2 linked regions of the Caenorhabditis elegans genome follow. The protein of the gene in region 2 interacts with the protein of the main gene of each other region in a pairwise test. Each region holds a gene or a part of one and is shown on either strand. Other genes may lie near its edges. The genes, in order: lim-4 and C46E10.8.

Region 1 (6,913 bases), on a different chromosome or scaffold from region 2:
ATATGTTTGTAGAGGTAAAATAACTTGAATACACTTTTTGATATGTTAAGCTGGATAAAATTTGTACACCTTAAAGAAAACCCAAGAGACACAGGTAAAAAAAATCCAAAAAATAGAATACCTACTGAAACTGACTGCAAACATTAGTTGATTTTTGTTAAATTACCGTTTGCGAAATCTACAGATTCTCAGACAAAAAAATCAATTTTCAGAATAAAACTAAATAAGAAAACCGATTCTGATAAAGTAGTCCAAACACTTTTGACTGATCAGAATTTTAACCCGCATATTGTAAACATTAAATATTGAAAAAATTTAGCTCCAAACTTTCTTTAAAATCCAATTTCAAGTTTCTTCCAAACATCTAAAATTACAGCTAGTTTTTCAGAAAGATTTCTCTAACTGTCTATTATAATACAAAAATGGAATAACTAAGTTGAATATTCAAAATTATAAAAACAGATATTGAAATGACACAGTTGAGTGAAAAATTACCGAATAGTAGCGAAGAAGTGTGAAATTGAAGTGTACATGGTTGGCAAGTAGAAGATGCCTTTCTGAATGAACAGGTTATGCCCCTCTTAAGACGAGACTGGCGACTGAAAGGCCATAAGGTTTAGACAATATAGTTCACTTTTCAAAGATGGTTAGGTTTATTCAAAACTAAGCAGAATGGAGGAGACTGTAATTTAATCGAGTATCATAACTTGTATAATAGGAAATTAAGAGAACAGGGGGGGACAATGCAAATGTACATGTCACATACATAGCTGCACTGTGGTATCAAGTTTTAAAATCTTGATACGTAGTTTTGAGACATGGGAATTTAGATTTAGATAATGGGAGAGGTGAGATTCGTTTTGACCAGAAAAAATTATCAAATTAGAAGCAAGCGTATTTTCCACAGGAAAGATAAACTCTAAGTTAGCCGAGAAAGCGATGATATATTTTTGAAATTGAGGAAAGTCGGATGAGATTGTTTTTCAATCGAATTGTAGTGAGCCCAGAATAACGATTGAGTCCGGAATTGCATCTTCCACGCTGAAAATTGAAAGGTAGTTATAAAAGTTTAGGTTGTAGGTACCTTGTAGTTACAGAAGTTGGATACATCATTTCACTGCTGCTATCCGATTTTTGACTAGGACTGGAAGGCCCCACAGATGACCTCTGGCTATCTCCATTGTCACCTTCGGATTTTTGATGCCATTTCTTTTGACGAGCTCGTGAATTCTTTAAAATAATTTTTTTTAATTTATTTTTTTGGGCACAATATCTTACCTGGAACCACACCTGGGTCACTCTTTTACTCAGTCCTGTCATGGAGGCAATCTTTTCCAAATCAGCACCATCCGGATTACTGTCCCGGTTGAAATATGTCTGAAATCACTATTTTTCTATTTCACGTCAATTGTAACTTGCATACCTGAAGAACCGATAATTGATCTTCCGCAAAAGTGGTCCGAACCCTTTTAGTCTTAGCTTTCTGACTAGACACCCCACTGTCTCCTTCAACAAGTTCCAAAAAGTGCTGTTTGCAGAGAAGATTGCCCTCTTGAAGTGCGTATTCTTCCCCTGTACTCAATTGTCTGAAATAACTATGTCAATTAAAAGTCTTCATATGAAATTTAGAATACCTACCTTTTGCACTGGTTGCACGAAAAACACGCAAGATGGTATACATAGTTTCTTGCTCTTCGTACCCAATCAGTCGCCTGAATAGTACGATCGCAAGATGCACACTTGGGTCCAAGTTCTCTGCAACTGGAAGCGGTTGATGTGACATGCGTTCTTAAAAGTATAATTGGTTTTATATGTACATAGCTTTTTCCCATACTTTTAAGCCCCTTAGCACAAAAAAGCGTTTCTTATAATAATAGAAGAAGATAAGTGGCTAAATGTACTGTATAAACGACACCGCGCAACATGTCGCCGCATCTTTTTACACGAGACATTGGGATGAGCCATCTGTCACACGGAAGTCTGGCGGGGGTCTATCAAACAGACACTTGAATTGAATAATCAAGAGTCAATTGTTACAGGGTGTTTTAGCGGGTTCCTTTGGGTAAGAAGAAGCCTAGTTGTATACAGTTTTTGGATGATTTTCAGGTGTTTTAAGCCCATAAACTTTAAGGTAGATCAGCAAATTGTGTGGTATTACAGATACAACAGAAAATCTTCTGTAACGGTTTAAATTTGTGATAAAAATTATAATTTATTAATTTAGGCTGAAATTTGAAAATTTTCCATTTTTCAATTCAGAAATTAGTTTCGAATTTTTTTTTTTCGTAATGTAATGGGATTATTCAAGTAATGTTGCAAAATGTATTTAAATACATTCATAACGGCACAACTGTATTAAAATACGTGTTTTATGTATTTTAATTTTTTTGTCATTTTTCAACACTTTTTAATTTTCGGACAATACTTGAATGGCCCCATAAATATAGCCATTTTTAAAGTAAAATATATATTACTGGCAAAGTTTTAAAAATAATTTTTTGACTGAAAAATTTCATTACAGTCTTGGTCTTGTCTAAAAATTCAGATTTTTTTTCAGAAAAAAGATGAAAAATTCCCGAAACCTGTCAGAGTGTTTGCCTAATTTCAGACACTCTGAAGTTTATTGAGGAACTGCAAAAAAATGTGGAGTAGGTTTAGTTGGTTTGGAGTTGGTTTGGAGTAGGCCTCAAAAATATTGAGAATTATTTCCATTTGCTTTTTTCTAAAGTTTCCATAATTTTAACTGTTTCAAATATTCTTAACTTTTTTACCCCTTCGAGGGTTTTTTTTGCTCTATAAAGTTCTCTTTTTGTGGCACATTCAGGAAATTCAACTTTTTTCCCTTATTTCTTTACAAAGACAATTCGGTCAGCATCATCTTTACCAGTTTCCTTTTCTTTTCTTTTTGTGTTGAACACGAATAGACACACAACATCCACGTTTGCTTAAACGGATTCGCGCAGATTTATTCGTTTTAGGATGTGTGGAGCACAAAGCATATAGAGAATAACTCGGTTAACGCGCCCCGTGTCTTTTCTGAACTATCGATTCTTCTATTCTGAATGTTTTGAAATGTTTTCTTTAAGTCCCAAGTTTTATTTCATTTTTTTTTCTTGAGCCAAACTTAGGAGCAAACTGAGTTTTTAAAACGAATTTTGAGGGAAGCCAAGAAGAAACTGGCACTGATTCAATTTAACAACGGTTATGATGAAAGATGAAACCAAGCGAGAGGAATATAACAATATAAACCCCGGCCCCAAATCTGATAATATATAGGTTCCGAGAGACCAAGGACTGGGGGATTACTGTAATATTACATAACGGAACCAGGTTCGTCCTAGCTGACAGCTGCGGGCCTTATTCGCGCGCACAACTGTGCACCTCATTAAGTACTGCCTCATACATGTTATTTTAGGATTTGTTAGGCAATATTCGGTGATCATGTATGTTTTATTTTTATTTTTGATACTATTCGGATTAAGTTTGTTCCTCAGTTTTTTGAAAACGACTATCCACTACTAAATTTAAACAAAACAAGTTGACTAAGCTTTTTCCTTTGCTCAGTGCTCTCAAGGGATGGCTAATCACCAATCAACTAACCGGAAATAACATCCTTTACAGTAAAACGTTTTGTCTTTGTAGAAACATTTATTGCTCAATGGGTTTTCGCATGTGCTGCACTGAAGACAATTTTCGTGGTAGTTTCTGAAAAAAAGTCTTCAAATGTTTTTCAAATCCAATTCAATATTACCTTCCATCGATGCTTAGAAAAAACTTGTCTTGAATCTGATGTTGACATTGTGTGCATATGACGATTACCGCATCAGGCTGCAACCATTACAGTAGTCTTGTGGACAAAAAATCATATGAAAAGAAACTATACAATTAGGATCCTATTCAAGTCGTTTCCGGTGTAAGATCTTGCTTTTAAGATAAGTTTTGAGTCACTAAAAATTGGATAAAAGATGTGGATATTTTTAATTTTTGAATTTGTGTGGTGAAATTGAAATTATTATCCTTCAGATAAATATTAAACATACTTATTTAGTAGTAAGAATTTTATAAGAACTTTTCGTAAACAAAAACCGACGAAAAACTTCTTTCTAGAACTCGACAAAAACTTTGAAGAACAGTTTTTCACAAAATTCTTTAACTTCAGAACAATACAGGAACCATCTAAATTGCTGACTGAAAAATCGGCAAAAAAAACTAAAAGCTGATGCATACAATTAAACAAATTGAAGTCTAGACCTCACCTTGATTCGAATATTATCATCTGGAGTAAAGGCATAATCAGCTAGCCTTAGAGCACTTGAAATGTAGACTGACGACTCGTCGGACGACGAGAACTCTTGATTGGCAGGAACTGGACCCTCAACAGTCAAGTTGGAGCAATCAGACACGTAGTCGGAAGTTGTGAGCGAAGGACTCGACAAATAGTCACCGATGAAGGGGAACGTGAGCGACGAGTCTGACAATTCAGACGCCGTCGACGTCTTCTTTGCCTGAACAAGATGAGCATCCATGGTGCAACTTGTGACAGCTGCTTTCTTAACGAACTGCCGGCCGAGCTGTAGATAACAAGACAACAAGGACCACTAACGAGTCGACGAGCACCGACGCAAAAGTCTTCCTTCTAGTCTGTTGTTCTGTCGAAAAGGCCTCACTAGAAGCTCGCCCCGCCCACTGGGATGCTCACTATTGGGCGGCAAGGCGGATGTGGTTGGCTGCTTGCGTAGGAGTGTCCGGCAAAAGAAGGAGCCCAGATCTCCGGAATCTGAAAGTTCCCAAATTAAAGTTATAACAATAGGAAATTATTTAATGCTTATCAAGTGCAAATAAAGTGTTAATATCGAGAATAATTAATATCATATGAAGTATGAATAAATAAACAGCTAAATTTCAAAAAAAAAATTAGTTTGATAGTTTTTATTAGAGCATTAAACATTTTAAGAAATGGTCTGGCATCCAGGCCATTGAACAAAAATGCATATTTTGAGATGGTTTTTTTTTCCGAAAAAATCTATTTATTTTAGCTGAAACGTTTTCAAAAGTGCTCTAAACTGTCCTGAAAAATTAAATATTTCGACTATTCGATACTTGAAAATCAACCAATTTTCAGCATTTTCTTGAACGTTTCAATGAATGTCATTTTCAAACTAATTAAGTAATTTCCCTTAATTTAATATCAATTTTCAATAGAAAAAGTTGGAACAAAATGGAACATAGGTAATTTTGTAGAATTGCTGTCCACCTCTAGAATACAGTGAAAATGCAAAAAAAAACTAAAAATGAGATAAAAGCTGACAAAATTAAACAATTGGGTGCAAGGCAATATGGGACTTGAATATTATAATCCTGTTTATTAAAAATTATGTTAGAACTCTAGAATTTCATCCAATTTAATTAAAATGATACACATATTGCGTTTCAGCCTTAGAAATTTGTATTTTTCTATACAATAAATTCGAACTATGTATTCAAAATGTGGGGTTATACTACACAAGTTTCAAAAATGATCCTAGGTGTCCGTTGCGAATAAAATATGTGTGATAATGGCTTTGGAGGCAAAATATTATCATAAAGAAGATAATAAGTAAGTAGAGATATTTTGCAACCCCTCTCTCAAATAATGAAACCATGGCTACTGCGTATCCCATATTACGTTTCCAAGTTTTTCGGAAAAAATAGGAAAAGGTGACTAATATCTGTTTCAATAAGGGTAAATTGTTCGGCCAGATAATAGAGCCACCAAAATTGGAGGCTCCTGACTAGTTTGCTTGTTACTGCCACCAGTCTTGAGGACTTGGATGTCTCATGCTAATGAGCATCAATTCATGTCGCACAATCTGCCAGGCCTGCCGTTTTCATAGGATGCCGCTGAGGAAAACATGAATGAGGTAGTGATACCGAAGGACTATTGTTAAAATAGTGATCCTTTCGGATTCGATACACATACATATATAACAAGAGTTATCGGATTAATGTGAATTGGCTCTGGGGGCTCTCAAAAAGAACAACAGACGGGGAAGAAGCACACCTACACACCACCATTTGGCGCATTCCACTCGACACGTGTGCATCAAATTGGAAGCATCTTATTATTCTACCAAAATTAATACTATTAGTTGTTAGGATTGTGGGAGGGTTGAAGATTGGAATTGAAATCTGAAAAACCTCTTCCTGAAGAGATATAGGACGTTATTTTGCTCCAGAAACTGACTGGAAATGAAAAAAAAAACATGCAGCAAATCTAAACCACTGGTAAAAAATTGTTTACTTTTCACAGTATCAGAAAATGACAATTTGAGAATAATTATAAAATTTTGATTGGTTGATCTTGAAATACTTCTTAGAAAAAAAACTTCAAAAAAAACCAGCCACGATTTAGATATTTTTATAGTGTTCAGACGTCGGTTGTCGGCTGTCGGCTGGTAGGTTAAAATTACGTATTTCTTGAACGTGTGGACAATTTTTTTTTTATTTTTTATTTATTTAATACGATTCCAAACGAATCGTGTCATAAGAAACAATAATACACAAAAAATCCAATACACATCACAATAAATCAATTCCGCCAACACATGGTAAATTTTAGATTTTTTTTTGATTTACTAGTTTTATTCAACTGAAGTAACAATTTCCAAATCAGTACGTGCTGAAACATTAAAAAGTTCACATTTGATCTACCAGCCGACGAACAAGCCGCTCAGTTTTGATCTAAAATAAAATAACCTTGATTTACCAACTTTTCAGAGTTCAAATTGCATTTTCACATCAAAAAAGCATTACCTGAAAATTCGTATAATTCTAGATTAAATCTTTTTTCAAATGTTATTTTTAACCTTTAACTTTGTTAACCTTTTAGATACTCCGTGTCACTCCTTCATTTGAAAAAAAACCATACTAATAG
Region 2 (4,629 bases):
CGCATAGTTTCTTTTTCTATCTACATCTTCTTCACTCTCCTTCCCATTTGCTCTCTGCCAATACCGCGCGCCAAATCGATAATTGCGCCCCACCAAAACACTCTGCGCGGGTTCATTTATTCCTTCACCTCTACTCTCTTATCAATGGACCTGCCTGAAGCTCAAGCTCTTGTGCCAGTTTATTCTCAGGTACTGTAAAATTTTCACAAATTAATTAATAAAGGATCCATTTTTTTTCAGGAATTGCGCAAGGTGCAACAGTTCAAGTAATTACATTCTCAGAAATCTCTGAGCAATCACATACGGAACACCAAATGTGGACTTGGGCTGTCTTCTTACGAAGACGTTAGTGCTTAATAGATAGCGTTTGGCATCATAATCTATCTATCTCTATCTAACTCTATCTAACTTATCTATTTCAGAGGTACACCTGCGAATTCTGCGGATCGAAATACAATTACCAAAGAAGCCTGGTCAGTCATATGAAAAGTCATCTGGAAACTGAAACTGCCGCTTCTCCAGCTCCTATGCAGACCAACTATCTCACGTGTCCTATTGGTCAGTGCGAGATGAAGTTCAGTTCGCAAAAGATACTTCTCGAACATCTTTTCTGTCGCCACATAGGCCAGGTGCAAGAAGTGTAAAGCTCCGTTCGCCAGTGTTCAAGGACTCCTTGCTCATTTCAAAGAGAAACATTGTGGACTGAAGGTAGAATCAGCGACAACGTCAGCAGACGCCGCGCAGAACACTTTAGGGGAGTTATTGAATGCGATGGGAGCTTCTTTGTCAGCAGAAAGAATAGATGGTGGGCCAAGTCAGGAGCTCAGCAAGGAAACGGATTTGCAGGAAAGCTTGTTCATAGAGTCTTCAGCTTTAGCTTCAGCCAATGGATGGCCACAGCTTTCCGTTGATAGTCAAAGTTCGGGCACCAGTGGTTTCCCAACGAGAAGCAGGCTCTTCGAAGAAAAACCATTGACCTATATCAACATTGATTCTCTTCCCTCGTCTTTTAGCCTCACAACTATGGTAAGAGTTTAAATTGTATATTGAGCAAAATCTTTGGTTTTCAGGTATCTACTCCAGCTCAGTTGCTCAGCTCTTTTCCCGGTGTTGCGACAACGCCAGAAGCTTTTTTTGAAAACTGTGAAGGAAAGTTGTGGAATTCCTTGGAAGCTTCTTTGCCGTTGAAGATCAATGATGGAATGCCAAACCAGGAGTTCGAAAAGCAAGCGGATTCTCAGAAAAACTATGGATCACCACAGCTCAGCGGTGCCACCCTTGATGGTCAAGGCTCAGTGAGTTCAAGGCTCAGTGAGAGAAAGCTCAAGTACGCAAGTGATCTTCCGACAAGCAGTAATGTTTGTGAGCCAGCCAACTCATTGAGCTCGACGAGGCACCAAACTCTCACCGGTTCTAATGGGGTAAGGCCAGTAAGTTTAACTTCATGTAAAGAGCTTCTCCCTCTACAACAAACTTTTTCCAGGTTAATCGCCAATTCAAATGTGAAATCTGTGAGAAACAATTCGCCAACAAGCCAAACTTAAACCGCCATCGAAAAATTCATTCTGGAACAAAATCCAAGAAGTGCAACATTTGTCAACAAACGCTTCACAGAGAGAATAGGGTATGCTAACTAATTTCATTTTTATATACTTTTCAGAATTTTCAGCTACAAGAGCATCTGTACACACATCTCAAAGAACGATCTCATTTCGACTGCCCCATGCTGAACTGTTTTACGCAATTTCGGTCTCATTTGGAAATTCAACGTCATCTCGAGCACCACCACCTCGTTTCACCACACAATTTGGCTCCGTGTAGGAAATGTCGCAAGCACTTTGGAACTGCCAAGTATTTCCTGATTCATCACTATTATTATCATTCTACGGTGAGAAAAAACTATATAATGCTTCAAAACTAATACATCTTCTCAGGATCTGACCTCTTCGGCTCCAGCGTCAACTTGCTCAACCAGATGGTCACCTATGACCGTATCAACTTCAGAATCCAGCTCAACTTCAGAATCCAGCTCAGGAATGCCAACACTGCAAGATCCAATTCGACGATGCCCCAATGAGCCTGTTGCACAATGCCCTTCACGCTCCAGGAAGCCCATTCAAATGCTCATTTTGTGGAGCTGAGTGTGAAGATAATCTGGCGTTTACAATTCATATTGTTACTGCCAATCATAATTTTAGTGGACTTTAATTGATAATTTCGTACTGTTAAATAGTTATTTTTCGTAACGCCATTCAATAAATCTAGTTTTAGTTCTCGAGTGAAACTTAAAATTGATATATAATATGAAAAAAGGTTTTTCGGGCGCCCAAAAACTGCCGAATAGTCTTTTTTTGAAGCTTATTAGAAACTACACATATTTTCTTTCTTTCTCTGCGTCTCTCTTTCTGACCTCCCATTTGCCCTCCGCCAATACCGCGCGCTCAATCGATATTTGCCTCCAACACTCCATTCCGTAAAGGGGCATTCATAACCATTTAAATACTTTTTTCTTCTATCAATGGACCTGCCTGTAACCCCAGGTGCTCCCAATTTTGCTCAGTTGCTTGACCCAGTTCATTCTCAGGTAACTTTTTCCACGTTTGTTTTCAAAAGATTCAATTAAAATATTCAGGAGTTGGGCAAGTTTGTCTACCAATGCAAAGCGTGTAGCAGAATTTACGCGAGCAGGGTAAGAGAAAACTTTGCTCCAATTATAGTTCCAATTATCACAATTTCAGAAATCTCTGAAGTCCCACCTGAAGAGCTACAAATATGCTCGGGAAGTCGCTGGATACAAAAGTGTGAGTTTAGTTTTTTTTACTGAACAGAAAATCCCTTTGTGTTGAAACTCTACCTTTTTCCAGAAGCATACATGCGAAATCTGCGGAGCCCATTACTCAAGTAAAATATACTTGAACCGCCATATGAAAAAGCATCTGGAAACTGCTGATTCTGGAGCTCATGCAATTCCCAGTCTGGGCTCACCTGCTCCTTCTTCTTCAGGCTTTGCAACTATGGTAAGAGCTTTGAATTGTGTTGAGCAAACTATTTGGGTTTTAGATCGTTCCACCAGCTCCGTTGCTCAGCGCTATTTCTTCTGGATCTCCACAGCTCGGGGACACACGTGTTCTCGCCTCTTTTTCGTGCTTCGCGCCAATGGTAAGAATTCATTATTGTGGTATGGAAAAGCTTGGATTTTCAGATTTCTCCGCCATCTCAATTGCTCAGCTCCATTCAAAGTGATCAAGCAGCTTCGCAGCACAATCATCTGGAGAGATGTTGAGAGCGATAGAAGCATCCTTGTCGTCAAAAAGCAATGATGGATTCGGCGCGTCAAGCCAAAAGCTCGGCGAGCAGGCAGATTTGCAGAAAAGCTCTGGATTATCAGAGCTCGGAGAAGTCACCCCAGATGGTCAAACCTCTGTGAGTTATTTGAAGTTTTGGCGTTCAACTTAGGCTGACTATTTTTTGGAAGTTTCAAACCCCACGCGCTCTGCCAACAAACAGCAAGCTCTGTGAACGGGGCGAATCGATGAGCTCAATGGGATCCCCAACTTTCAATGCAGATCAGTTACTTGGCGAATCTACCTCGATGTTCCATGGAGCACAGAAACCTCAGCAGCCAAAATTTGTAAGTTGTCAAAGCTCGCATTTCATGAGGGCAGAAAAACACCTTCCTATCTTTGAGAAGGTGTACTTTTGCCACATAGGCACGTATACACCTATGCATCTGGCTGCCTAGGCATCTAGGCACGTAGGCACCTGTGTATCTGGGTACCTAGGTACCTAGCCACGTAGGCCTAGACCTGAAATTTTGCTCTAAACACTTGTTTTCAGGAATGCGAGCATTGTGAAATTGAGTTCAAAGACGCTGTGCTGGGCCAGCTCCACACCAGTTTCCACACGATCGGCAACCCATTTCAGTGCTCACTTTGTGGAGCACAATGCTACAATGAGTACGCCTTCAACATGCATCTTGTCCAATCCAGTCACAATTAGTTTTTGTCTTGCTCCCTGTTTTATATTGCTATAATTAAGCATGTAAAAAAATAATCATTTTCATTCGTGTCCAGAAGTTTGAATTAAAATCGAATAAATCGAATCTACCGGAAAAGCATCAAAAGTACAAAAATGAGCACAACCTTCTTGAAACTAGCCGATGCATTCATCTCCTCATCAAAGCACAAACGATCCGTCCCACATCCTGTCAAATCCTCTTTCTGGCCGAGAGCAGCAGGTGTCGGCTTTTGTGGTGGTATTGGAGCTGGGGTGGTTTCTGCTACTGTCGTTGTTGGCTCAGGAGTTGTGGTAGTTGTTTCGTCGGCCGCGTATTCTTTCACCGGTGTTGGTTGTCTGAAAATATGGATTTTAAATTTGAAAAGTTCACCAGCAACTGCTCACTTTTCACAAATTCCTGCGATTTCACACAGAATTTTGATGTACTTGTGCAAATACGTGACCTCCACCACCTCCATATCTGAAATTTGAAAGATGCTTTCTTGTAGACGGATTAAACCAATTTCTCACTAGATTCGGGGCGATTCTCAATGCTTCTACTAATCACCCCGGCTATAACGGATTTGTTCGTCTCGTGGTAGTGAATATTTCCGGTTACTTCAGGAACACCGG

Evidence for each region.
Region 1: the proteins of C46E10.8 (region 2) and lim-4 interact in a two-hybrid assay, tested with the Caenorhabditis elegans proteins (one large-scale study listed by BioGRID).

Annotation. Positions count from the first base shown.
Region 1 is NC_003284.9:3,868,770-3,875,682, forward strand, and holds lim-4 (LIM/homeobox protein lim-4), read right to left. Parts: upstream 4,776-6,913; 5' UTR 4,527-4,775; coding exon 4,257-4,526; intron 3,829-4,256; coding exon 3,752-3,828; intron 3,706-3,751; coding exon 3,601-3,705; intron 1,789-3,600; coding exon 1,639-1,788; intron 1,587-1,638; coding exon 1,424-1,586; intron 1,378-1,423; coding exon 1,279-1,377; intron 1,231-1,278; coding exon 1,085-1,230; intron 1,042-1,084; coding exon 984-1,041; 3' UTR 635-983; downstream 1-634. UniProt on the Caenorhabditis elegans protein: Transcription factor that binds to the promoter of target genes. Regulates genes involved in serotonin synthesis and release in serotonergic ADF neurons.
Region 2 is NC_003280.10:3,725,324-3,729,952, reverse strand, and holds C46E10.8 (C2H2-type domain-containing protein), read left to right. Parts: upstream 1-1,888; 5' UTR 1,889-1,934; coding exon of another isoform or gene 1,935-2,263; 5' UTR 2,264-2,518; coding exon 2,519-2,584; intron 2,585-2,632; coding exon 2,633-2,689; intron 2,690-2,738; coding exon 2,739-2,801; intron 2,802-2,864; coding exon 2,865-3,017; intron 3,018-3,060; coding exon 3,061-3,159; intron 3,160-3,202; coding exon 3,203-3,283; 3' UTR 3,284-3,631; intron 3,632-3,837; 3' UTR 3,838-4,103; downstream 4,104-4,629. Other genes in the region: C46E10.1 (uncharacterized protein), read right to left, coding at 4,104-4,353, 4,402-4,477, 4,528-4,629.